Linked DNA regions of Diceros bicornis minor. The protein of the gene in region 1 interacts with the protein of each later gene in a pairwise test. Links are inferred from orthologs where the notes say so. Each region holds a gene or a part of one and is shown on either strand. Other genes may lie near its edges. The genes, in order: CD63 and TIMP1.

Region 1 (11,403 bases):
CTGGAGGCAGGAGTGGTCAGAGGGAATCTAATCTCCAGAGAGAGCACAGGGCAGTGAAGGTCAAACTTGTTGCCAGATGAGGGATGTGTGTGTGCCTGTGTGTGTATGGCAATGGTGGGGGTGTGTGAACGGCCAGAAGGTCTGGCTGGGGTCCAGGAGTGGGAACCAGAAATTAGAGATGTGAGGGCAGGACACAGTGGTCTGGGCTCTGCCTGGGGGTGCCAGCGATCCCCACCCATTCAAACTCTGCCTGGTCTTCTCACCCCTAGTTCCCTGAGGTGCAAGACCACACCCATGGGGAGGAATCCCACAGTTGAGCACAGCCTGGGTGAATGTCCCCAAGGCCTTCAATGCTCTGCTGCACCCCCAGCCTGTGCCAGGTGGCCCCCAGCATCCAGGGCTTCTCTTTGCCGTAGCCCTCACCACACTGTATCACAGATTGTGATCACCTTGAAGGCAGAGTCATGTCTTACTCATCTCCATATAGTCCCAGTGCCTGGCATGTTTAGGCTTTCAATACAAAGAAGGATGAACGAATGAATGAATTCTTCCTCAGCCCCTGCCTAGGCCTCTGGGCCTCTCAGCCCCAAGGAACAGACACCTGAGCTCACCACCCCACTGCAGCATTGCCTCTGTCTCATTTCTCGCATGTTCATGTCTGCTCCATCCCGGGAGAAACCGTAGGTGTGTGGGTCTGTGACTCTCAGGTGGAGGCTGCTGCACTCCTGAGCTGGTTCTGGACCAGAACCACACAGCAGCCGGGCTCCTGGCCCAGGCAATGCCCGAGGAGTGGGCTGCCCGCCCTACCCACTCACCAGCTGGACATCTAGATTGACCCTGTTGGTAATAGTGACACCGGCTGGGAGGAGGCTGGGACAAGACCAGGCAAGGGTAGGAAGAACAAGGGGCCAGAAGTCAGGGGCTGGAGGCCCAAGGAGTAGGGAAAGAAATGGGTAAGAACAGAGGAAGAGCCCTGAGGACGGAGCTTGGCAGTGGGGAGTGGGGCAGGGTGGGGTTGGAACAGAGCTGGGCGGTGGGGCTTGAACTGGAGCTCTGGGCCAAGGCCAAAGTGGGTAGGAGGGGCCAAGGGAAGCTGGGTTGTCCCTCCCAACCCTTTCCTTGGCCACCCCAAGTGAGGTGGAGTCCAGATATTTCTCAAAGCAAAATCATTTTAATTCCTGTAAGTCTACAAACAGGGTACGATAAAGCCCTTATCATCTATTTTGTGTGTGTGTGTAAGGAAGATTAGCCCTGAGGTAATATCCGATGCCAATCCCCCTGTTTTTGCCGAGGAAGACCGGCCCTGGGCTAACATCCATCCCCATCTTCCTCTACTTTATATGGGGTGCCGCCACAGCATGGCTTGACAAGTGGTGCGTACCCGGGATCCGAACCTGCGAACCTCGGGCCGCTGAAGTGAAGCGCGCACACTTAACTGCTACACCACTGGCAGGCCACAAGCCTTTATCATCTTAAGGTAACAAAACAGATCCCCTTCATTTCTTCTGTGGGCCTCACAGGCGCCCTGTGGGGCCAGAAAGGGAATAGTTTTCTTCCTGCCTAGCTGGGTGGAAGTCGAGCCTCAGGAAGGTGAGAGTTTAGCCAAAGTCACCCCACCTATGTGTGCTCTCGCACAAGGGCTTCTGACCTCAGGGCACTTGTTGCAGGTGGCAGGCGTGGTGCACCCAGCCCTGGAGTGGGTGTGTCAAGACCCTAGGTCTCACCTGTAGGCTGCCCCTGAGTGGGTGGCTTCGTCTCTCTGAGTTTCCCTTTCCTCGCAGTGAGGATGTAAGGTGACTTTCGCAATGATGATGTTCTCCTGGGCACCACAGTGCGGTGACCTAGCCTTGCCCAGACAGGTTGGGGAGTCAGAGCTGGCCACCACAGTGACTGGAGACCTTTCTCTACGCCCCAGACCCCGCCAGTGCATCTCTAACCCCCTTGATATATCCCTGCAATCTGGGCGCGGTCATCAAGCACCCATGCCTCCCTCATATCCAGAGCTGGGGCCTCTGGATTTAAATCTCAGGCCCCCAGTTCAGATCCAATCCCTTGACCTTAAATTCCAGCCACCACCCTTCCTACCCTCTCCAGCGAAGAGATGGCCTTGATGCTGATGGCTCTTCATTTCCTTTCTCTCTCCCATCCGGGTCTCCTCCTCTTCCTTCTCCCCACCCCTCTCCCTCATGTCTGTTTTCCCTTCTCATCTCCCCGAGCCTCTCCGTCTTTCACCCTCTTCTGTTCCCTCCTGTCTCTCCTCTCCTCTCTCCCAACTCTCCTCTTCCCTCCTCTCCTTCCCCATGTCTCCTCACTCCTTTCTCATGCTCCCCCACCCCCCCTGCAGGTGGCAGTTTCGAGTTCACAGAGGCCTCTCCTTCCAGGGCACCTGAGCCTCATCTCTGAGCCAGCCCCCTGCCGGTGGGGCATGGGCAGGGGGCCTGGTGGCCCTGCTGAGTTGGGGGACAAGGTGTCTGTTCAGCAGGCACTGGGCTCCCTGTCTCCATCTGGCCTTCAGGAGGCTTCGGGCTCTGGCTACAAGCTGCCGTGTGTTGCACTGGGTCTGGCCGATGCCTATGTGCTCTCAGATGGCACCACCTTCGCTTGGGATACTTGTGGCCCCCAAGCCCGGCTGCTGGCGCTGGGTGGAGGCGTGGTGGAGCTGGAGAGAGCCTGGCTCTGCTCTGTGGGGAAGGGCAAGGGTGCCTACCCCAGCTCACCTACCACCAACCAGTGCCAGGCACCCAAGGGACAGTGGCCTGAGCTAATCGGGTGGCTTGGTGGCATGTCTGGATGCCAGGCATTTGGAGCAGGTGCTGGAGGCTCTGAAGGATGTGATGTGAAGGGCCAGATCTGAGGCCAGCTGCCTCCCCTCTCAGAGGCCCTTCCTGGAGCCCAGCAGGCACACAGGGCTCTATGTCAGCTTTCCAGGCTAGGGGAGTGGGTGATTCTTTTTTTTGAAATTGTGTTAAAATATACATAACATTTACCATTTTCTTTTTTTTTTGTGGGGAAGATCAGCTCTGAGCTAACATCCATGCCAATCCTCCTCTTTTTGCTGAGGAAGACTGGCCCTGAGCTAACATCTATTGCCCATCCTCCTCGTTTTTTTTCCCTTTTTCTCCCCAAAGCCCCAGTAGATAGTTGTACGTCGTAGTTGCACACCCTTCTAGTTGCTGTATGTGGGCCGCCGCCTCAGCATGGCCGGAGAAGCAGTGCGTAGGTGCGCGCCCAGATCCGAACTCAGGCCGCCAGGAGTGGAGCACGTGCACTTAACCGCTAAGCCACAGGGCCGGCCCTGCATTTTAATCATTTTTAAGTGCAGTTCAGCGGCACTAAGCACATTCACATTGTTGTGCAACCACAACCATCACCCATCTCTAGAACTTTTTCATCTTCCCAAACTGAAACTGCACCCCCACTGAACTAACTCTCCCTTCCTCCCTCCCCCAGCCTCTGGCCCCCACCATTCTACTCTTGGCTCTACAAATTTGATTAGGAACGTGCCTTTCTTACCCCTCACTTCCAACTCCACACAGGCTTGTTCTCCGGGGTCTCCCTGGCCCTGTCCTTTCCTGTCTCCCCTGGCACCGTTCTTTCTCTCCCATGGCTTGACCAGGCTGCTGCCACCACTCTGCACCTGCTCCTTCTCCTGGTGTTCCTCTCAGACGGCCCCATTCTCCTGACCTTCACCTCAGCTCTGCCCCAGCCCACTTGGATGTCCCCCCTCCCGGGGCCCTGCAGGTGCTCTGGATCCTGCCCTGACACTGCTCTGGAGATGGCCACCCCATCCCATGGCGTTCTCTTGCTTTTCATCCAAATTGACCGTTCTATACTATTGGACGCTTCTGGCCACTGTCGTGAAGTTCTCTTTTCTCTTGGCCTCTGAGAGAGAGGGGAAAAAGCTTGGGCTTTGCAACCCCCAGAGATCTGGGTTCAAATCCTAACACTGCCCGTTCCCAGCTTGGGCTCTGGGCACATCTCTCCCTGTCTCCAAGCCTCAGTTTCCTTATCCCTAAAACAGGACAAGTCATACGGACCTCACAGGGTTGTGGTGAGGATTAAATGAGTAATGGGTATAAGTGCCCAGCACCGTGCCAACGGAGTGCAGGGGTCCAGCTCTGCAACTTCCTTTCCCTCTCACCTCTTCTGCTGGCTGCTCACTCCTCCCCATGTTCCTTAAACAGAAGGCTCTGTCCCCCTCTGTTTTCTTTGTTCTGGCCCTCACCATCTATAGGTTTAGACATCACTTTTTATCTCTGGTCGGACTGCTCTTCTCTCCTCAGTTTCACATCCCCAATTCCTGGGGGGACGTCTCCACCCAGGTGCCCCTTGGGGGACCACCACCTCTTCCCAGGGGGCCCAGGTTGGGAAGCTCTGAGTCGTCTCAGACTCTTGCACTTCCTCGCCCCCTCCCACAGGTAAGCGGTGCTGCAGTCCTTCCGTGTGCCCTCGGAAATGCCTCTGCGACTTCCCTACTCTCCGTGGTTCTGGCCTTCATCGGCTCTTCCTTGGACTGTGGCAGTGATATCCCAGCTATCCTCCAGGTCAGCTGACATTCATTCCTCCTCATTTCAGTATAGCCAATCCCAAGATGGTTCACCATCTCAGTAATGTCCACACTCCCATCACCTTAGAACATTCCCAACACAGCCTTCCAGGTTCTCAACAGTCCTATCACCTAGACTGTCTTCTTTTTGCTTCATATTGTTTTGTAAAGTATTCCAAAGCAATTACAGAAATGACATTTCACCCTTAAATATTTTAGTATGCATCTTTAAAAAATAGAGTACTTTTCCTATATAATCGAATACTATCATCATAGCTAACAAAATTACTTTCTCATGTTGAATTCTCAGCCCATATTCAAATTTCCCCAATTGTTCCCCAAATGTCTTTCACAGTTGGTTTGTTCAAAGATTCAGTCCAAGACCAAGCGTTACACTTGGTTGTTATGCATCTAAAGTTTCTCAATCTTGACTTCAGACCACCTTCCCTCCCGTCCATGTTTTACCACATCCTTCCTGAGCCCTTTGAGCCAGCCAACCCCAACCTACAGGGACTTGTTAAACTACTCCTTTTTTACACTTGGCCCTTTTCTTGTCCCTGGAACTGACAGCTTGCCCCTTTATTCTCTAAGGTCACCTTGGAAATCACCACCCACCTCTGTGAAATCCACTCTTTTTCTTTTTACTTCGGGCAGAGGCACCACCTGTCCCTCCCTCTGAGCTGGTCCAGCTGCCACCAGGGGTTCTGCCTCTGTTCACAGGGTAAGCTTGGTTCTGCCTGGCAGAGGGCAGGGCCTCTGTCTTCCTTGCCCTCCTGGCCCCATGCCTAGCACATGTCTGGCATCTAGGGGCAGCACGATAAAGAAACTGATGAATACTCCTTTTTCCAGCATCTTCACTCCTCCTCCACAGCCTGCCTGCTGTGATAACTGGGGAGCAAGGGCTTGGTGTGTCTTGCTGGAAGGTTGTAATCCCTTCCTGAGAACCCTGAAACTGGTTCTCAGTCCAGCCCAGATCTCCTTCCTTTTGCTCTTACAGTTTCTTTCCTTCTTCGTGTACACACACCAAGACTCCGAAAGTGGTTCTTGAGGCAGGACCATAAGAACCTAAGGGCTGGGGTCCAGGCTGGCAGGGTGGGGCTGGTTCTGTCCCTGGCATGTTTATTCAGCTCCTTCTGGGGACCACCATGGCACACACGGGAGAGAGGCAGCTTGAGCTGCCACACCCCCCTTCCAGCCCTCACCTGGCTTTGCGCTAGGGCATGAGACGGTCTGTCAGCTAGGATGGGATGGGGGAAATCCAGGGATATATGCCATGCCTGCCTTAGTGCCCTCCCCCACGGCTGCACCAAGAAGGACTGAGCCAGGAGAGGTGGGAGCACGGACCTTGTCAATCCTCCCCCATAGGGAAGGACTGGATTCTGATGTGTCATGATTGACTGGGTGGGATGGCCCTGAGAAGGGCTTCCTCCCCTCCTCAGCCCACTACTCAGGAGCTCTAGAAAATGGAGAAGGGACTAAATGAGAGGGGACAGGAACACCCACTCTAGAATGTTGAGGGACTCCCAGGATGTGAGGCCAGGGACTTTCTGGAAGTGTTTATTCTGGCCCCACCCGATCCGAGGGAGCCTAAGGCGCCCTCTGCGGACTGGGGGATGGGGGTGGGGGCTCGAACAGAGATGGAGCCAGAGGCAGGGAGTGGGCTCCGGGTGGGGGACGAGGAGGCCTCTGGCAGACCATCTTGTCACCTTGCCTCAGCTCTGCCTGGCCCGTGCGCTCAGAGGGTAGCTCTGGGCCGCTCGTCTCTCCTTTGGCTCCTTCACGCCTCTTCCGCTTCCCTGAACCGGAGAGAACAAGGCGGCACTCGGTCCGGCTCCTGCCCCGAGTGGGCTGCGGGCGCCAGCAGGGCCCCAGGCGCCCTGAGGTCCTGCCCCGGACACTCCCTGTGCGGGTTGGGGCGCTGTCTTCCCGATAGGGGCCACGTGGCCCTGGCCGGGCGGGGGGCTCCGCCCTCCCCTCGCCGGCCGGGTGACTCAGGCCGCAGCTGTTCCCGCGTCACATGAGGGAGGCTGCCGGCCACTGGGCGGGGGAGGCGGCCGGGGCCCGGGGCGGGGCCGCGGGCGGGGGGCGGGGCCGGAGCGGGGGGCGCCGCTAGAGAGCCCCGGATCGCGGCGGGAGAGGAGCGAGCCTCGGGGAGCCCAGGTGAGGCGCGGCCCCGGCCGGCGCGGCGCGGCGCGGGGCGGGGGCGGCCCGGCAGCTCCCTCCTGCGGGGCTCGCCCGGCCTCCGGAGACCCGCCTGCCCTCCGGCCGCTCCCGAGGCCCTCGCGACTTCGCAACTTTGAAAAGTTCCAGAGCCCGGGCGGGCGGGGCGGGGTGGGGTGGTGGCCGCACTTATTTGGGGGTGGTCAGAGCCCAGGGGACGGTGGCCGGGGGCCGGGCTGGGGCTGAGGACCGATTTTCGGGGCTGGTTGGTGGGGAGGGGGTGTTTGACGCCGGCGGGCCGAGGGTGGGCGTCAGGCCGGGCCCCGGGGGCGCCCTCCGATCGGTCCCGGGCCCCGAGGCGGCGGGGCGGGGTCCGGGCTTCGCGGCGGTCGCCCCCACCTCTCTCCGGCCAGGAAGAGGGGGCTGGGAGACGTGGATCCGACCGCGGGTTTCCGGGTGGGAGGGGCTGGGGATGGGGGCCGGGCAGGGAAGGCCTCGAGGGCCGGCGGGGAGCCCGGAGACCGACGTCCCCCCTCGGCCGGCTCTAATCCTCCTGTTCTCCCCTCGGCCCAGGTCCGGCAGCCATGGCGGTGGAAGGAGGAATGAAATGTGTCAAGTTCTTGCTCTACGTTCTTCTGCTGGCCTTTTGCGTGAGTGGGGAGGGGGCCGGTGCGGGCGCGCTGGCAGGGTGCGGGGAGACCTGGCTCCGGAGTGCTGAGGGCCGAGGGACCAGGAATGAAGGCAGCTGGAGACCAGATGTGGAAGGAAAGCCCAGGAACGGGCCGCAGACAGCACGGCCACCCCCCTCCTCCAGCTTTCAGGGACCTCCGAGGCTGGTTTGGTCCAGAATGGCCAGTCTGGGTGCGCAGCGCCCTCCCCCAAGCCCCTTCTGGCCCTTCCTGTCTGGTGACCCAACCTCTTGTGATAAGGGCAGTGGGGCAACCAGCCAACGCCAACGGCCTGATGCTATCGCCGCGGGGCTTCCCTGCGTTCCCCATCCTCTTCTCTCCAATCTCCCCTGTCCACCCCTCATTCCTCTCCATTCCCTCATCCCTCTTCACCCCTCCAGCTGCTCGGGGGTGGGGAAGCGCTCTGCCTACCTCACTTTGCTCCTGCCCTGGGCTCTTGGCTTGAGAGGCTGCTGTTTGTCCTGGGAGAGCACCCTACTCTTGCCCCCTTTTCCTCCTTTCTTCTCCTCGCTGGCGTCGCTGGCCTGAGGAACCCTAGTCTCAGCTGATGAGGATGGGGCGGGCCTCAGAGGATAGCGCGAGGGCAGTTCTGGGAGCCCTAGAGGGAGCACTGCTCTAGGTTAGGATCATATGCCCTGGGGTCAAGGCTTTCTGGAACTTCTCTTTTTGTATTTGATCAAACTATGGGGCAAGGATGGATCATCCCCCTTGCCCACAGTCAAAAGTTTCCTGGAAGTGTGACAATCTGTTCCCCAGGGATGGGGTTAAGTCTGTGTCCTGGGTGCACCCGCTGCCCTCCAGCATGGGGGGCTGATGGGTTGTGGGTCTGGCCTAACCCTGATGTGCCCTCTGCGCAGGCCTGTGCAGTGGGACTGATCGTTGTGGGTGTAATGGCTCAGATCATCTTGAATCAGGCCAATATCCAGGATGCCACCCCTGGCTGTCTGGTGCCTGTGGTCATCATCGCAGTGGGTGCCTTCCTCTTCCTGGTGGCCTTTGTGGGCTGCTGTGGGGCCTGCAAGGAGAACTACTGTCTTATGATCACAGTGAGTGGGTTATAACGGGGCTGGCGTGGCTGCCTGGGATTGCTGGAGGGCATTTCTATGGAGGGGGCTCACGAGGGTGGGTGAAGTGAGGTGGGTGGGTGAGGAAAACCTTTGTGAGTGTTCCAGAGACTGGTTGGGCCACAGCACGCCCCTCTCACCCAGACTCCAAACCTGATTCCCTCCCTTTGCGCCTGTAGTTTGCCATCTTCCTGTCTCTTATCACGCTGGTGGAGGTGGCTGCAGCCATTGCTGGCTATGTCTTTAGAGAGCAGGTAAGTGGGGACTGAGGGGAGGACCCTGCCCCACAGGCCTGGCTGCTCTGGGGCCCAGGTGCTCAGAGTTCTGACCTGAACAGTGCTCCTCCCTACTGCCAGGTGATGTCAGAATTTAATAAGAAGTTCAAGCAGCAGATGCAGAGTTATCCGCACGACAACCAAACGGCTTTAGTCCTGGACAAGTTGCAGGAGGAAGTGAGTGGGGTTGCTGGGAGCAGGGGTAGTGGGGGAAGAAGAGTCTCATCTCCATATTGAAGGTGGAGGTCCACTCAACAGCCTTCTTCCCCATCTCTCTCCTCTCCTTCAGTTTAAGTGCTGCGGGGCGGCTAATTACACTGACTGGGAGATCATCCCTCTCAAGGTCAATGGCTCAGTCCCTGACTCCTGCTGTGTCAATGTCACTCAGGGCTGCGGGACTAAGCCCACCGAGAAGAGTATCCATACCGAGGTAGGGAGGAGGCTGAGACAGCAGGGGATTTGGGGAACCTGGTGAGAGGGACCAGGGGTGGAGTTGGAGAGGGCTGGGGCTCTGGAAGTTGTGGTCAGGGTTGGGGAGGGGATCTAGGCGTGCTGGGGGTGGAGTGAAAGGTACAGAGGGAGGTGGGTGGGAAGTTTCTGATGGTATTCTTGCCTTATGTGCCTGTCACCCTTCAGGGCTGTGTGGAGAAGATTGGAGGCTGGCTGAGGAAAAATGTGCTGGTGGTGGCTGCCGCAGCCCTGGGTATTGCCTTTGTGGAGGTGAGAGGCGCCCTTGGGACTCAGTCCAGGGCATCTGGGTGGGAGGGGCAGCGGGGAGGAGGGTGCTGAGCAGGAGGTACTGGCCTGGGGAGGGGAGCCCTGGTTGTGTTTGGGGTCTCTTGGGCGGGTCCTGGGTTCCTCACCCTTCTGACCGCTCTCCACGCCCCCTCTATCTTTCCCTCTAGGTCCTGGGAATCGTCTTTGCCTGCTGCCTCGTGAAGAGTATCCGAAGTGGCTATGAGGTGATGTAGGGGGTCTGGTCTCTTCAGCCCCCTCATCTAGGGGAATGGAGTCCTATACTCCAGGTTTTTCAATTAAACGGATTATTTTTCCAGACCGAGAAGAGAGGGAGTCTCAGTTTGTCTTCAGGAGTGATACTTCATCCCTTTTCTCTCCTCATCCATGTTCCCGTCCTCTGGGACCTTGTTCTGTTTGCGCCCCTGGGAAAGGGGGCCTATTTTGGGGGGTGTTGGGAAAGGAGGATTTTGCTGAAGGCGTTTGTTGGGCTGGCAGTGGAAGCGGGGATCTGGAGGCTGTGGCCCCCTGCCCTCCCTGTCTCTTAGTCGTGTGCTGCCAGGCTCAGTGCTGAAGCGTTCCTGAAGCCATCTCCTGCAGAAGTCAAAGGGACTCCCCACAAAGGTCCTCCACGGGAAGAGACCTGCCCACGTCTATCGTGGACATCTTCTCCTTGGTCCTCTGCTCACTTCACAGGGCCCAGCAACTCCCTCCTGCACCCAGCAGGCCTGGCTCCTTTCAGGGTGGTGACCTGTGTGGCCAGTGTCCATCTGTCTTGACTTTGATTAGATGATAGAATTTAGTGGGTATTGTGTTTCTTCCATGGAAACCACCCAGCCTGGCCCCTACCCCTTTTCACCACCTTCCCTCCTGCCTTCAAGAAAAACAGATAATGACCATTTCCACTCCAAACACTGAATTGTGACCTTATTCCACATAGAAAATAAAGGAGACGTCCAACAGTGCCCTCTGGTAGCCATTCCTCCAGGTGCAGCTTCAAAGATGTGATAGTCCCCTTGCGCCCCCTAGTGGGTGCTAGGTGTTTTGCAGGCACTAAACAGGCCAGAGACCCTGGGCAGTAAGTCAGCCGAAGGTAGTTAGCACTTAAATGGGGTCAGTTTCCCACTGGGCACTTCCATTTCTGCCCACCTACGGTGTTTTTTTAATACTCAATAACATTTATTGAGTGCCTATTTTGTGCCAGGCACCCGGCAGTACCAGGGTGGGGACAGAAATAAATCAGTCTTTGTCCTGGAAGAAAAACGTCTTGCTGGAGGGCTGGACTCAGTAGACGGCATGGGCAGGCTTGGGAAGGACCCAGGTGAGCACAGCATCCACCAGGCTGGCTGGGAGGTAGGAGGCTGGCAGCCAGAGCAGCTTGGCGTCCCAGCCTGGGCTGTAGCGGGTCCTGGGGTGACGAGCAGTCAGGGCATGCTCCAGGCACTTGCTCACCTTGGTCAGGTCCGGGTCACAGATCAGGTTCATGATGCGCTGCTGTACTTTCAGGTCTGCAGCCCAAAGGGTGTTATAATCAGTGTCCCTCTCCCACTCCAGCCCATGTCAGGCCCTGTCTTCTGGGTCCTGGGGCTGGTGGCCCAGCAGAGGTGAGAAGGATCCTTAGTCCCCTCCCCAGGTTGGGAGTAGGCAGGTCGCACACGGCCTGCTGTCCTGTGGCATCCCGTCACCCTCACCCCTCCTACCTCCTCCCAGCGGCTGGTGCAAGACAGGCCTTTCTGGCTCTCATTTCCCTTCATTCGTCCCTACGTGGGCTACTCACACTTGGTAAGGAAGGCCTCCCCATAGTGGGCCCTTGTGGCTGGAGGGAGCCGTGCCCAGCAGGCCTGCAGGGCGTCCTCCAGACTCTCCAGGTTTGTCACAGGGGTTTGGAAGAAGCCAGGCTCCACGATGGAGACTCGGATGCCAAAAGAAGCCAC
Region 2 (11,077 bases), on another chromosome or scaffold:
TGTTTACAAAATGCTTTACCATATAGAAAGCGCTCCTCTTTACCAAGCACTCTGAATTTTCAAGGCATTTTACAGTTTACAAACTGCTTTACTGTTTACCAGGGACACCGCTGTTTACAAAGAGCTTTAGAATTTTCAAAGCACTTTGCTTCAATAACAAGGACTTCCCAGTTTACAGAGCTCCTTTTTTATATTTTATAAAGCACTTTGCTGTTCACTAAACACTTCCTAATTTATAAGGTACTTTACAGTTTACAGAGTGTTTTAGGATCAACCACCACTCTTTTCTTTTCTTTCTTTTTTTTTTTTGGTGAGGAGATCAGCCCTGTGCTAACATCTGCCAATCCTCCTCTTTTTTGCTGAGGAAGACTGGCCCTGGGCTAACATCCGTGCCCATCTTCCTCCACTTCCTTCCACCACAGCATGGCTTGCCAAGCAGTGCGTCGGTGCGCGCCCGGGATCTGAACCGGTGAACCCCGGGCCACCGCAGCAGAGTGCACGCACTTAACCGCTTGTGCCACTGGGCCGGCCCCAACCACCACTCTTTATAAAGTACTTTACAGTTTACAAAGTGCTTTGCTGTTTGCCATAGACTTGTCAGTTCACAGAACACTTTAAAGGGTACTAAGTGCTTTGCATTCTCAGTTCACAGAGCACTCTATAGTTTAACAAGTCTTTTGCTATTAACTAAGGATGTCCAAGTTCACAGAGCAGTTTAGAGTTTACTAAGTATTTTGCCATTTGCCAGGGATGTCCCAGTTCACAAGGCACTTTACAGTTTACTAAACATTTTGCCATTCACTGTGGACCTTCTGGGCCATGGAGTGCTTCACAGTTTACAGTGTTGCTGCCCTGCACCTGCGCCTCCCTCTGTGCCCCCACCAATCCCTGGGTGTTCCCACCTCAATGATGTGATCCCTTCCGTCCTTGCCATGCAGCGCTTCCACTGCGCAGATGTCCAGTCCCCCAAAAATCTCTGAGCACGTATCCACCCACAGCTTGTACCTGCCAAGACGTGGGGCAAGGAAGCCTGTCAGCACCTTGCCTGGGCAGCCACACTCCCACCCTCATGTCCCTTCCCGCCTGAGCTCTGGCCACCCACCTGTCAGACATGGCAATCTGCTCTAGCATCGCAGAGCCAGTGTTGGTCTTCCAGTTGCCTGACACTGACGTCCTCCTGGGGGACAAGAGGAGAGAGGAGAGAGGCTCAGGGGGGCCTGGGCTGCACAGGGCAGGGCAGGGGACCCCTACCCGGGCCTTGGCCACTCTGCTCACATGTAGGCCTTGTAGTTCTGCCCAATCTTCTGGACACGCACGTCATATTTGGCATCAATGAAGGGCTCGGCAGTGGCGTACGTCTTGGTCAGTGCTACGACACTTGCGATGTCCTGGAAGTCATGCTGGTTGTCCACCTTGACCTGTGGGAGTGGGGTGGCGATTAGGGCCTGGTCACGACTGGGCAGCAGTGGGCAGTGGGGGTGCCTCGGGGCAGGGGCGTGCACACAAATGACACAGGTGAGCTGCATACACAGAAATTTCAGCGGGCACACCAAGGCATTCAAGCACGCATAATCCTGGGTCTCCTGGTTTTTACATGTACACACAGACACAAAGTTGGGTGTATACAACTCTGTAAACAATGATTGAATTGTCTACTTTGAATGGGGTAAGTTGTATGGTATGTGAATTATGTCTCAATAAAGCTGTGGAAAAATTGTGTATATATACAGTTATGTGCACATGGGCACCCAGACACAAAATCAGTTGTACACACAATATACAAACATACAGAAGCACAGACACACTCAAACACACAAATTACAAGTCTGCTTTCTATGTACACAGAGACAATATCAGATGGGTAGAAAGCATACAGGATCCCAAGACCCTTGAACATAAAAGATTACATTGTGTGTGTTCCACACAGAGGCATGCGTGTACACAGACACAATTCTGGACACACTAACAAAATAACGACACGTAAAACTGGCAGAATGCATAATAGTAAATTGGGCCAACAAAATCTAAGAATGTGAGGAAAAACATACAAATAGATAAAGACACCCCAGGACACACAATCATACGGAATCACTCATGTGCACTGAATACACAATATACACCTACATACAAACTCACAATGCCAGGAGCATGCACCATTTACAAACACCCACATGTACGCACCCCAATTGGGGACTCACCTTGCCCATCCCAGAGTGTGCATGTCCCATCTTCACAACCACAGGGTACGTTGTGCTGCTGAGCTGGTGGGGTGGGAAGGCAGAGCATGGTCAGGGCAGGAGGGCTGACCACCAGGGGTGGGGGTGGTGCTGAGGGGAGCCGATCCAGTGGGAGCCACGTTAGGAGCCATTTCCCAGAAGAGGCGAGTCAGAGACAGGCAGACAGCAGCTGGGGGGTCACACAGTGCCTCCAAGCCCAGAATCGAACCCAGAACCCTGGCCGCCTGTTCCTCCCTCCACCACCTCCAGTGGCAGACTTCCCGCCTCTGCTTTCCTGGGCAGACACATGGGATAAGGGTGGGGGACTTTTCCGGAAAAGGGAAAGTCTATTTTTACAGTGAATGGATGATAGAGAAGTGAGTGTGTGCATGTGCGTGCGTGGGGGTGTGGTGGTGAACATGTAGCAACTGGACCCCTCAGTCAGGCCTTGTAGGTAAGCCTCATCCACGCTCATACACAACCTAGAGACATACACACAAACCCTCAGGGCTCAGATCTACACAAACCAACCCAGAGATGCCCATGCACTTTGAGACCCACAAGATGGAAAGACCCATAACCAACACAGGCTCCAGAGCACACCTCGCTTTCCGGCTGCACAGAGACCCACACAGTCATTCAGCCAGCCAGGTGGTTAGTGTGGGGCTGGGGCCGGCACTCCTGGCCAGCCTCCTTGCCCAACAGCACACACCCAACATTTGTAGACACACAGTCAACACTTTTGGGCGCAGACACACAGCCACCCTCCTCTCGCCCAAAGCCACATAACAGAGGGACACACACAACGTGAATGATTACCCATGCAATATAGACACAAACAACCCGCAGAGGCACAGTCACAGAATGCAGAGGCACACACAACTCTAACAGGCACACACAACATATTCAACACTCACAGACATACAACCACTCCTAGGCATGTGCACAACAAACAGAAGGACCTACACCACATACACAGGTACACACACTCCTAGGGATTCATGTAACCACTGCGACCTATAACATAGAGACCCACACCACACACCTGGGCACACAAAAGTATATCTAGGGACACAGAGAATATGCCATATGTACAAACGGAGAGGCATACATACAATCAGAGACACCCACAACCCTCCTAAGTATACAGACAACACTCCTGGGTGTATGCGTGCACAGACACGGACTCACACTCGCACACTCTGGAGTGGGGATGCCTCAAGTCTCCCCAGACCCCGACCCGGGGCGGGCTAGAGGGGCCGGTTCGGCCAACCCCTGCCCCACCATGCGCGGATGCACGAGCAGGGCCACGCCCCCTCCCTCGGCCGAGCGGACGGCTGCCCCACCAGGAGAGACGGGGTTCGGCCTTCCCGCCTTCCCGGAGGGGATGCTGGGGCCGGGGGCGGTTCCCGGTTCCCGACAGGCACAGGAAGCCCACAGGCTGAGGGTGACCGATTGACCTTCAGGCCTCACCCCCACCTTCCTCATTTCCCAAATGCCTGGCGTCATTCCGGGGCGCTGAGAGGCACCGTGTTGGGCTGGGGGTTACGGGATCCTCTAGTTAGCATAACAGGGAAACAATCCAGAGGCGGCACAGGAGCTAACACTCAGGCACACACACAGCTCCCAGAGGTGAACACCACATCCACAATTCCGTGTGCAACCTAGACGGGCTTTACAGAGGTGGACACACGACTCCCAGAAGCAACACAAAACACACGGGGCTGTACAAAACAGGTACACACGTACACCACACGGGGAGCACACACCACCTAAAGCCACACACGCCACTCTCAGAGGCAGAGACACAGCAGAGAGCTGCACGCAAGCGCACACGCACACACCCCGAGGTTTCTAGGCCCCTCTTTTCATAAACCCACCTTGTTTCCTCTGGACCTGAGCCTGAACACAACGCTATGTATGTGTGTGTGTGTGTCTGCACATGTGTGCATGCAGGGACCTTTGCACTCTGGGATCCCCTGGGGAGCCCTAGGTTTGAATCTTGGCTTCTCCTCGTCCTACGGCCATGTGGGACCCCAGGCAGGTCACTTAACCCCTCTCTGTGCCTCAGTCTCCTGATCTGTACAAAGGGCACAATCAGGCCCAAGCACTTCGTGTGTTGTGGGGATTGTCGTGTGTCCCATCTGCACACCCAGCTGGGCCCACAGCCCCCACACCCATCCAGCTCCCCAGATGGTCACACGGCCCGACACCCCTCCATGAAACCCCACCAGTTTCAAAACCTGCACAATAACCCAGATTCACACAACCTCGCACATATAGACAGTCGGCAAAACTCCGTGCTGACTCAGGTTTCAGAGCACAGAGGTGGCGTCAGAAGCAGGGTCAGCGAGGGGCTGCAGCAGGACTTTCCCTTCTCCCACGTCTCCCTTCGGGGCATCCCCCCGCACTGAGTCAGCCCCGCTCTCGTGCACTCTCACTCCCCCACTTTCACAATCAGCTTCTCCCAAGTCCTGGTGCACTTCCCTTCTCCCCTTTCTTGTCCTCCCAACAGAGCCATTTCTTCACTCTCATTCCCTCGACCCCTTTGTGTGTGCCTCAGTTTCCGCCTCTGTATAATGAGAATATGGACAGTCTCTAACTCACAGGGATGTTGTGAGGGATAGATTAGTTACTTCGGGGAGAAAAACGCTTAGCACGGTATCTGGCACACAGGAAGCCTCCATCCTCAGAAAGTGCTGGGTACTATTATTATTATTGGTTTCACATCCCTTGGTTCGCCAACATTAATTAGCAAGGAGATAATCAGGATTGACTCAGAGAGAACGCAGTCAAAAAGATTTTAGAACAGTGCCTGATACCCAGGAAGCACACTATAAATGCTGCTGGTAGTTTTTGTTGTGGGGTATTGCTGTTGTTGTTGAATGGGCTGACCTCCCTGAGTTAATCAAGCTTAATTAGCAAGGGGGTAATGGAGATTGAATGAGAGAATTTACCCAAAGACTTTAGGGCACAGTATACAGTAAGTGCTCAATAAGTGGCTGCCATCATCACTCCCATCATATTATTATTGGTCTGTCCTCCCTGAACTAAGGAAGGATGTTAATCAGCCCTCCGAGCCCTTTCCCAGGACCCCAAGGAAGATTTAGGCAGCATCTGGAAGCTGGAGGGCAGGGATTGCCTCACCCCACCCCCCACCAGGGGTGTGGGAGGGTTGGTGGGGAAGGGGCAGGGCAGGATGGGAGGGGATCAGTTTTCTACTGACTCACTGGCCTCTTTCACCACCATTCAACTCCCCCCACCCCAAAGCTCATGGATTCACCAGTACCTTCTCTGCTTGCCAGGACTGTGCCACGCCTGGGTTAAGATCCTGGCACCAGTTAGCCTAGGTTCAAATCCCAGCCATACCCTGTGATCCTGGGAAAGTTCTTCAATCTCTCTACACTTCATATTTCCTCATCTGTAAAATGGGAATAATACTGGTGCCCATCTCAGAGGCTTACTGTGAGCTTTAAGTGAGATAAACTATGCGGAGTGCCTAGAACAGAGTTGGTGCCATATAAATGCTGGCTATTTGCCTGTGATTTTTGAGAGCGGTTAAGACCCAGGCTCTGGCTCCAGGCCACCTGATTTCAAATCCCAGTTCTGCCACTTATTAACTGTGGTCTTGGATAAGTCACCTAGTCTCTCCGGGCCTCAGTGCTCCATTCACCTGCCTTATCTCCCTCCACTGCTTCTACTGATTTGTTTCTTCTCTGTCTCCCCCACCCTTCACCAGAATGTCGGAGCTACCAGGAGAGGGATTTTCGTGGTTTTTTGTGTGTGCTTGGCACACAGTAGGTGCAGAAGAAGTGTTTATTGAAGGAATGAACTAATTTGGGCTTCAGCCATGGGGAGTTGGGGGGATGTGGGTGATTGGATAGACTTCGAAGCGAGTTTGGAGACTTTAGGGAACTGCACTGGAGGGAATCCTGCCTGTAAGCCCTCCATTGAGGCCTCCTGGAAGGACTGTTGCCAGACGCCGTGATGAGGGAGGAGGATGGCCAGGGCGAGGCCCAGGGGGAGGGAGTGGAGGAGGGTGCATCTCTTTTTCAGCAGCCCTCGGCCCGCCCCTTGGCCTCCACTGATGGTGGGCGGATGAGTAATGCATCCAGGAAGCCTGGAGGCCTGTGGTTTCCGCACGGCTGCCACCCCCGCTCCTCGCGTGGACATTTATCCTCCGCTGCTAGGGCCCTGCCGCCATCGCCGCAGACCCAGCGCCTAGAGAGACTCCACCAGAGGTAGGCAGAGGCCCCGGTGGCCTGCAGGGTCTGGAGCTGGGCTGGAGCTTTCCTACCAGACAGCCAGCCTGGCTGCTCAGCCTGGCCGGCGGGTACCAGGACCCTGGGCTGGTCAAGGGGAAGAGGGTGGGGGGCTGGATCTGCTCCCCCAATCCTGACACTCCAAACTCCTTTGAACCCCTGACATCCACCCCAACTCCCCCAAACCCATGAGCCCCTAATATCACAGATGCCTCCTAAGCTGCCAACTCCTCTAATTTCCCTCATTGACCCCGAAATCCCCCCCAAACCCCTGAAGCTCCCTAAATTTCCCAAGCCCCCTAATCCCCCTGACTCCTAAATCCCAACTCCCTAAACCTCAAAACTTCCTCTGCTCCCATATCTCGCAGGCACCTCCACCCTCTTATGCCCCCAAACTCCCCCAACTCCCTAAGCCCCCAACCTCCTCCAAATTCCTCAGCCTCCCTCAACTCCTCCGCCTCCTCTCTCTCTCAATATGCACAGCCTGGAAACTTCCAAACTCCTTCAGCTCCCCAAACCCCAAATGCGTCACCCCCAACTCCTCAGCCTTCCGACTTCCCCAACCCCCTAAATCCTCAGACTCCCTCAGCCTCCTTATTCCCCAAACACCACAACCTCATAATCACCCCACTCTCCAGTACCCTACATCGCTCAAACCCCATAACTCCTAAACTCTCCCGACCCGCTAAACCCCTAAACTCCTCTGGGCTCTCAAATCCCCAACCCCCTTAAAATCTTCAAACTCCCCAACCCCTCAAGCCCTAGTATGGTCCCTAATCCCACCTTGGGGGGGGCAGGATGGGATAGGAGGCCTGCCCAGGTCCGTGGATCAACTGGGCTGGGAGACCCCTGACCCCTTCTCCCCACCCCTGCAGAACACACCATGGCCCCGTTTGCACCCTTGGCCTCCGGCATTCTGTTGTTGCTGTGGCTGACAGCCCCCAGCAGAGCCTGTACCTGTGCCCCACCCCACCCGCAGATGGCCTTCTGCAGCTCTGACCTTGGTGAGTGTACCCCACTCTGCCCACACACTCTGTGCTTTGTTTTCCCTCTCAGTCCAGTGGGGTTCACATGGTGCCTACCTCTAGAACAATTCCACTCCGCCCTGCACTGACTCTGCTTTAGCCACACTGGCATCCTCATGCTTCCTTGATCATTCCAGGCCCAGTCCGGCCTCAGGGCCTTTGTACTGGCTGCTCCTTCTGCCTGGTATACCCTTCCCCCCAGGTATCCACATGGGTGGCTGCCTCAAATGTCACCTTCTCAGAGTGGCCTTCCCTGACTACCCTAGTCAAAATTTTAACCACTGTTCCCTAGTACTCCTGATCCCCCTTACCCAGCTCTGAAATTCCTCATCACACTTAATACCTTCTAACATTCCATGCACTTTTTATTTTGCTTTTCTTGAGTCTGTCTCCTCTTGGCTAGAATGCGAATTGCACAAGGGAAGGGATTTCTGTGTTTTGTTCACCGTTGTGTCTTTAACACCCAGAATGGTGCCTGGCACACAGCAGGCGCTCCAAAATATTAGCTGAGTGAGTGAACACATGGTGAATATATGTCAAAGGCTTAGAGCAATGCCTGGCAAAAGCAGGCACTTAATATACACATGAGCTCTTTAACACATGTGTAAATCGCTTAGGGCACTGCCTGGCATCCAGCCACCCCTATTGAAGTATGTACTTTGCCAGTATTATTGTGATTATTTTATTTTATTGGCTCATGCAGTCCATTTGATTCACTTTTTTTCCTCCTCTCCTGCAGTCATCAGGGCCAAGTTCGTGGGGACCTCAGAAGTCAACCAGACCACCCCATACCGGCGTTATGAGATCAAGATGACCAAGGTAGCCCTCCTGACCCTTCCCCAGCAGTTCCTAACATCCCATCAAAAAAAAAAGCCTCTTGGGCCGGCCCCGTGTCTTAGCGGTTAAGTGCGCACGCTCCGCTGCTGATGGCCCGGGTTCGGATCCCAGGCGCGCACCGACACACCGCTTCTCCGGCCATGCTGAGGCCGCATCCCACATACAGCAACTAGAAGGATGTGCAGCTATGACATACAACTATCTACTGGGGCTTTGGGGAAAAAAATAAATAAATAAAATCTTAAAAAAAAAAAAGCCTCTGACCACCAGTTGGCGAGGAAGTTAGCTGTGATCTCGGGATGCTATATGACTTCAGGGAAGAACGTGGAGTGGGAGGATATGTCAGTAAAAAAGACTCTTTCCCTCATCCATCGACAGATGTTCAAAGGGTTCAGCGCCTTGGGGGATGCCCCTGACACCCAGTTCATCTACACCCCGGCTATGGAGAGCCTCTGCGGATACTTGCATAGTTCCGCGAACCGCAGCGAGGAGTTTCTCATCGCTGGTGAGGCCCCGCCCCCTCGCCCTGTGCCACGCCAACCCGCTCTTCAGACGCTGCCCGGCGACCGTGAGGGGGCGAGGCTCTGTGGGAATGGTCCCAGTTGAAATGGGGACCGCCCCAATTTAAGCCTATCAGAAGGCTGGGGGGTTGCCCAGCGGGGGGTCTGAGCTCCGGGGACGGCAGTCAGGCGCCGCCCTGCCCCGGCCCAGCCAATCAGAAGCCGCCTGTTGCCCCCTCCCCTCCCCCAGGACAACTATGGAAGGGGAACCTGCACATCACCACCTGCAGTTTCGTGGCTCCCTGGAACAGTCTGAGCTCCGCTCAGCGCCAGGGCTTCACCAAGACCTACGCCGCTGGCTGTGAGGAATGCACAGTGAGTGCCCGGGCCCTGCCCGCCCCTGGAGAGCCGTCCTTGGGCTCTTCCCCAAACCATGGCTTGTTTCTTGCTCCCTCCGGCTATTTCTTGTCCCTATGGCTGTTCCCCTGGAACAGTCATCTGTCATCTACCCAGTGTCTGATACCTGGGGATTCGCTGTTCCCTGGACTTTCTGGCTGCTTCCTGTCCCTCTAACTCCCCCTTGTGACTATTCTGTAGTCCCGCTGTCTATTCCTGACCCCCTGGGATTGTTTCTTGGTTCCCTAGAATGTTCTCCAAGAACCCAAAGTGCTGTTTCCCAAACCCACTGACTCTTCCCCAGCACATCTGATGTTGCTCTGCAGCTCTGACTGTTCCGCACACAAGGGCGTGTTACATTGCCCTTCTGACTATTCCAAGACTGTTCCCTGACTGACCAGAATGTCCTCTGACCCCAGTGCCTGTCTCTGAGCCCCACGGCTCCTTCCTATGCTTCAGTTCCCCACCTGCCAGCTGTTCCCTGCTACTGCCAGTTGTTCCCTATCCTATGGGACAGTTCCCGGGGAGACCTGCCTGACTGATGCTGCTGTGACTGTTCCCCAACCACTACTCCAAGAAACTGATCCTTTCACTGGCTTACTGTCACCTTGTCGAACCCAGTGACTGTTTCCCCAGTGGGAGGGGTCGTTCTTGAGTCTGTGCCCGGGTGGGGCAACACCAGGTCTCAGCAGCTCACTGTTGAAAGCTGAGGAGGGGAAAGTTCTGCTCCTTAGGGGAGGTAGGGGCAGGAGAAGCCCTCAGAGATGTGTCTCGCTCCCCTCCTCCAGGTGTTTCCCTGTTCATCCGTTCCCTGCAAACTTCAGAATGACACTCATTGCTTGTGGACGGACCAGCTCCTCACAGGCTCTGACAAGGGCTACCAGAGCCGCTACCTGGCCTGCCTGCCCCGGGAGCCAGGGTTGTGCACCTGGCAGTCCCTGCGGCCCCGGACGGCCTGAATCCTGCCCCCAACAGAAGCCGAAGCCTGCACAGTGTTCACCCTCTTTCCCACTCCTGTCTGTCTTTCTCCAAGACAGTGAAATAAAGAACTACCATCCAGCAGGCAGTGTCCCCGTGTAGTGTCTGGGAACTAACCCATGACCTGGGGGGAGCACCCTGGGACCAGTGCTGTGGGGAGTGAGGGGTGCAAAATGTTGGCTTTTTATATTTTACATGAAATGTGAAGATTTGGTAATAATCCTCTACATTGGCATTAGCATTGGTGATCTGCAACATCAGTAATGGTAATTTAACCTGCATTATCAACCACAACTTATTGGATAATCTCTCTACTCAATACTTTATAACATTTTACTAGACTAATTTATAATTTCCATTTGCACAGGGCTCTCTAGTTCATAAATTATCCCCCTGCTGACAAATCACTGCCTCCTTGGCAAATCCCCCGTTCACAAATCCCTCCAGTTGACAGGCTCATTGGCGAATGCCCTATCAACGGGCAAACAGCTCTTCTCCCTCGGGCACTGTCCTGATGTCATCCAAACTGTGGGTGTTACTGTCCCTACCCTTAGGTTTTGTCCTGTGAGTCTGACTTGAGTGAAAAGGGAAACCCCCAGGCAACCAGAGCCCCCTCCCCATAACCCAACCAGGGACTCTGGAGGAAGGGGTAGCCCTGGCCCCCCACCCATGGCCTGCAGGAGATTCCTTAGAGGTAGTTGTTTGGGGAAAAGGAGGGATGGGGAGAAGGTGTGATCTAGATATCCCCAAGCTCTGCCCTTCTCCCCCTCCCCCTGCCTCTCCTCCACTCACTCCTCTGACCAACTTTGAAGGAAATATTGACAGCAGTGATGTGCAGGTAGGGTTCAATATCAGGACCAACC

What was found.
Region 2: the proteins of CD63 (region 1) and TIMP1 interact in binary tests that used the Homo sapiens proteins (3 or more experiments, as listed by UniProt). The link is inferred for Diceros bicornis minor from reciprocal best matches to the Homo sapiens genes CD63 and TIMP1.

What each region holds. Positions count from the first base shown.
Region 1 is NC_080756.1:12,932,804-12,944,206, forward strand, and holds CD63 (CD63 antigen), read left to right. Parts: upstream 1-6,629; 5' UTR 6,630-6,706; intron 6,707-7,279; 5' UTR 7,280-7,290; coding exon 7,291-7,356; intron 7,357-8,252; coding exon 8,253-8,441; intron 8,442-8,638; coding exon 8,639-8,713; intron 8,714-8,815; coding exon 8,816-8,911; intron 8,912-9,023; coding exon 9,024-9,164; intron 9,165-9,370; coding exon 9,371-9,454; intron 9,455-9,639; coding exon 9,640-9,705; 3' UTR 9,706-9,791; downstream 9,792-11,403. Other genes in the region: RDH5 (retinol dehydrogenase 5), read right to left, coding at 10,754-10,977, 11,247-11,403. UniProt on the Homo sapiens protein: Functions as a cell surface receptor for TIMP1 and plays a role in the activation of cellular signaling cascades. Plays a role in the activation of ITGB1 and integrin signaling, leading to the activation of AKT, FAK/PTK2 and MAP kinases.
Region 2 is NC_080781.1:41,339,119-41,350,195, forward strand, and holds TIMP1 (metalloproteinase inhibitor 1), read left to right. Parts: upstream 1-6,303; 5' UTR 6,304-6,457; intron 6,458-7,353; 5' UTR 7,354-7,361; coding exon 7,362-7,482; intron 7,483-8,242; coding exon 8,243-8,322; intron 8,323-8,718; coding exon 8,719-8,845; intron 8,846-9,090; coding exon 9,091-9,215; intron 9,216-10,024; coding exon 10,025-10,195; 3' UTR 10,196-10,298; downstream 10,299-11,077. Other genes in the region: SYN1 (synapsin-1), read right to left, coding at 903-1,005, 1,103-1,177, 1,276-1,418, 2,199-2,261. UniProt on the Homo sapiens protein: Metalloproteinase inhibitor that functions by forming one to one complexes with target metalloproteinases, such as collagenases, and irreversibly inactivates them by binding to their catalytic zinc cofactor.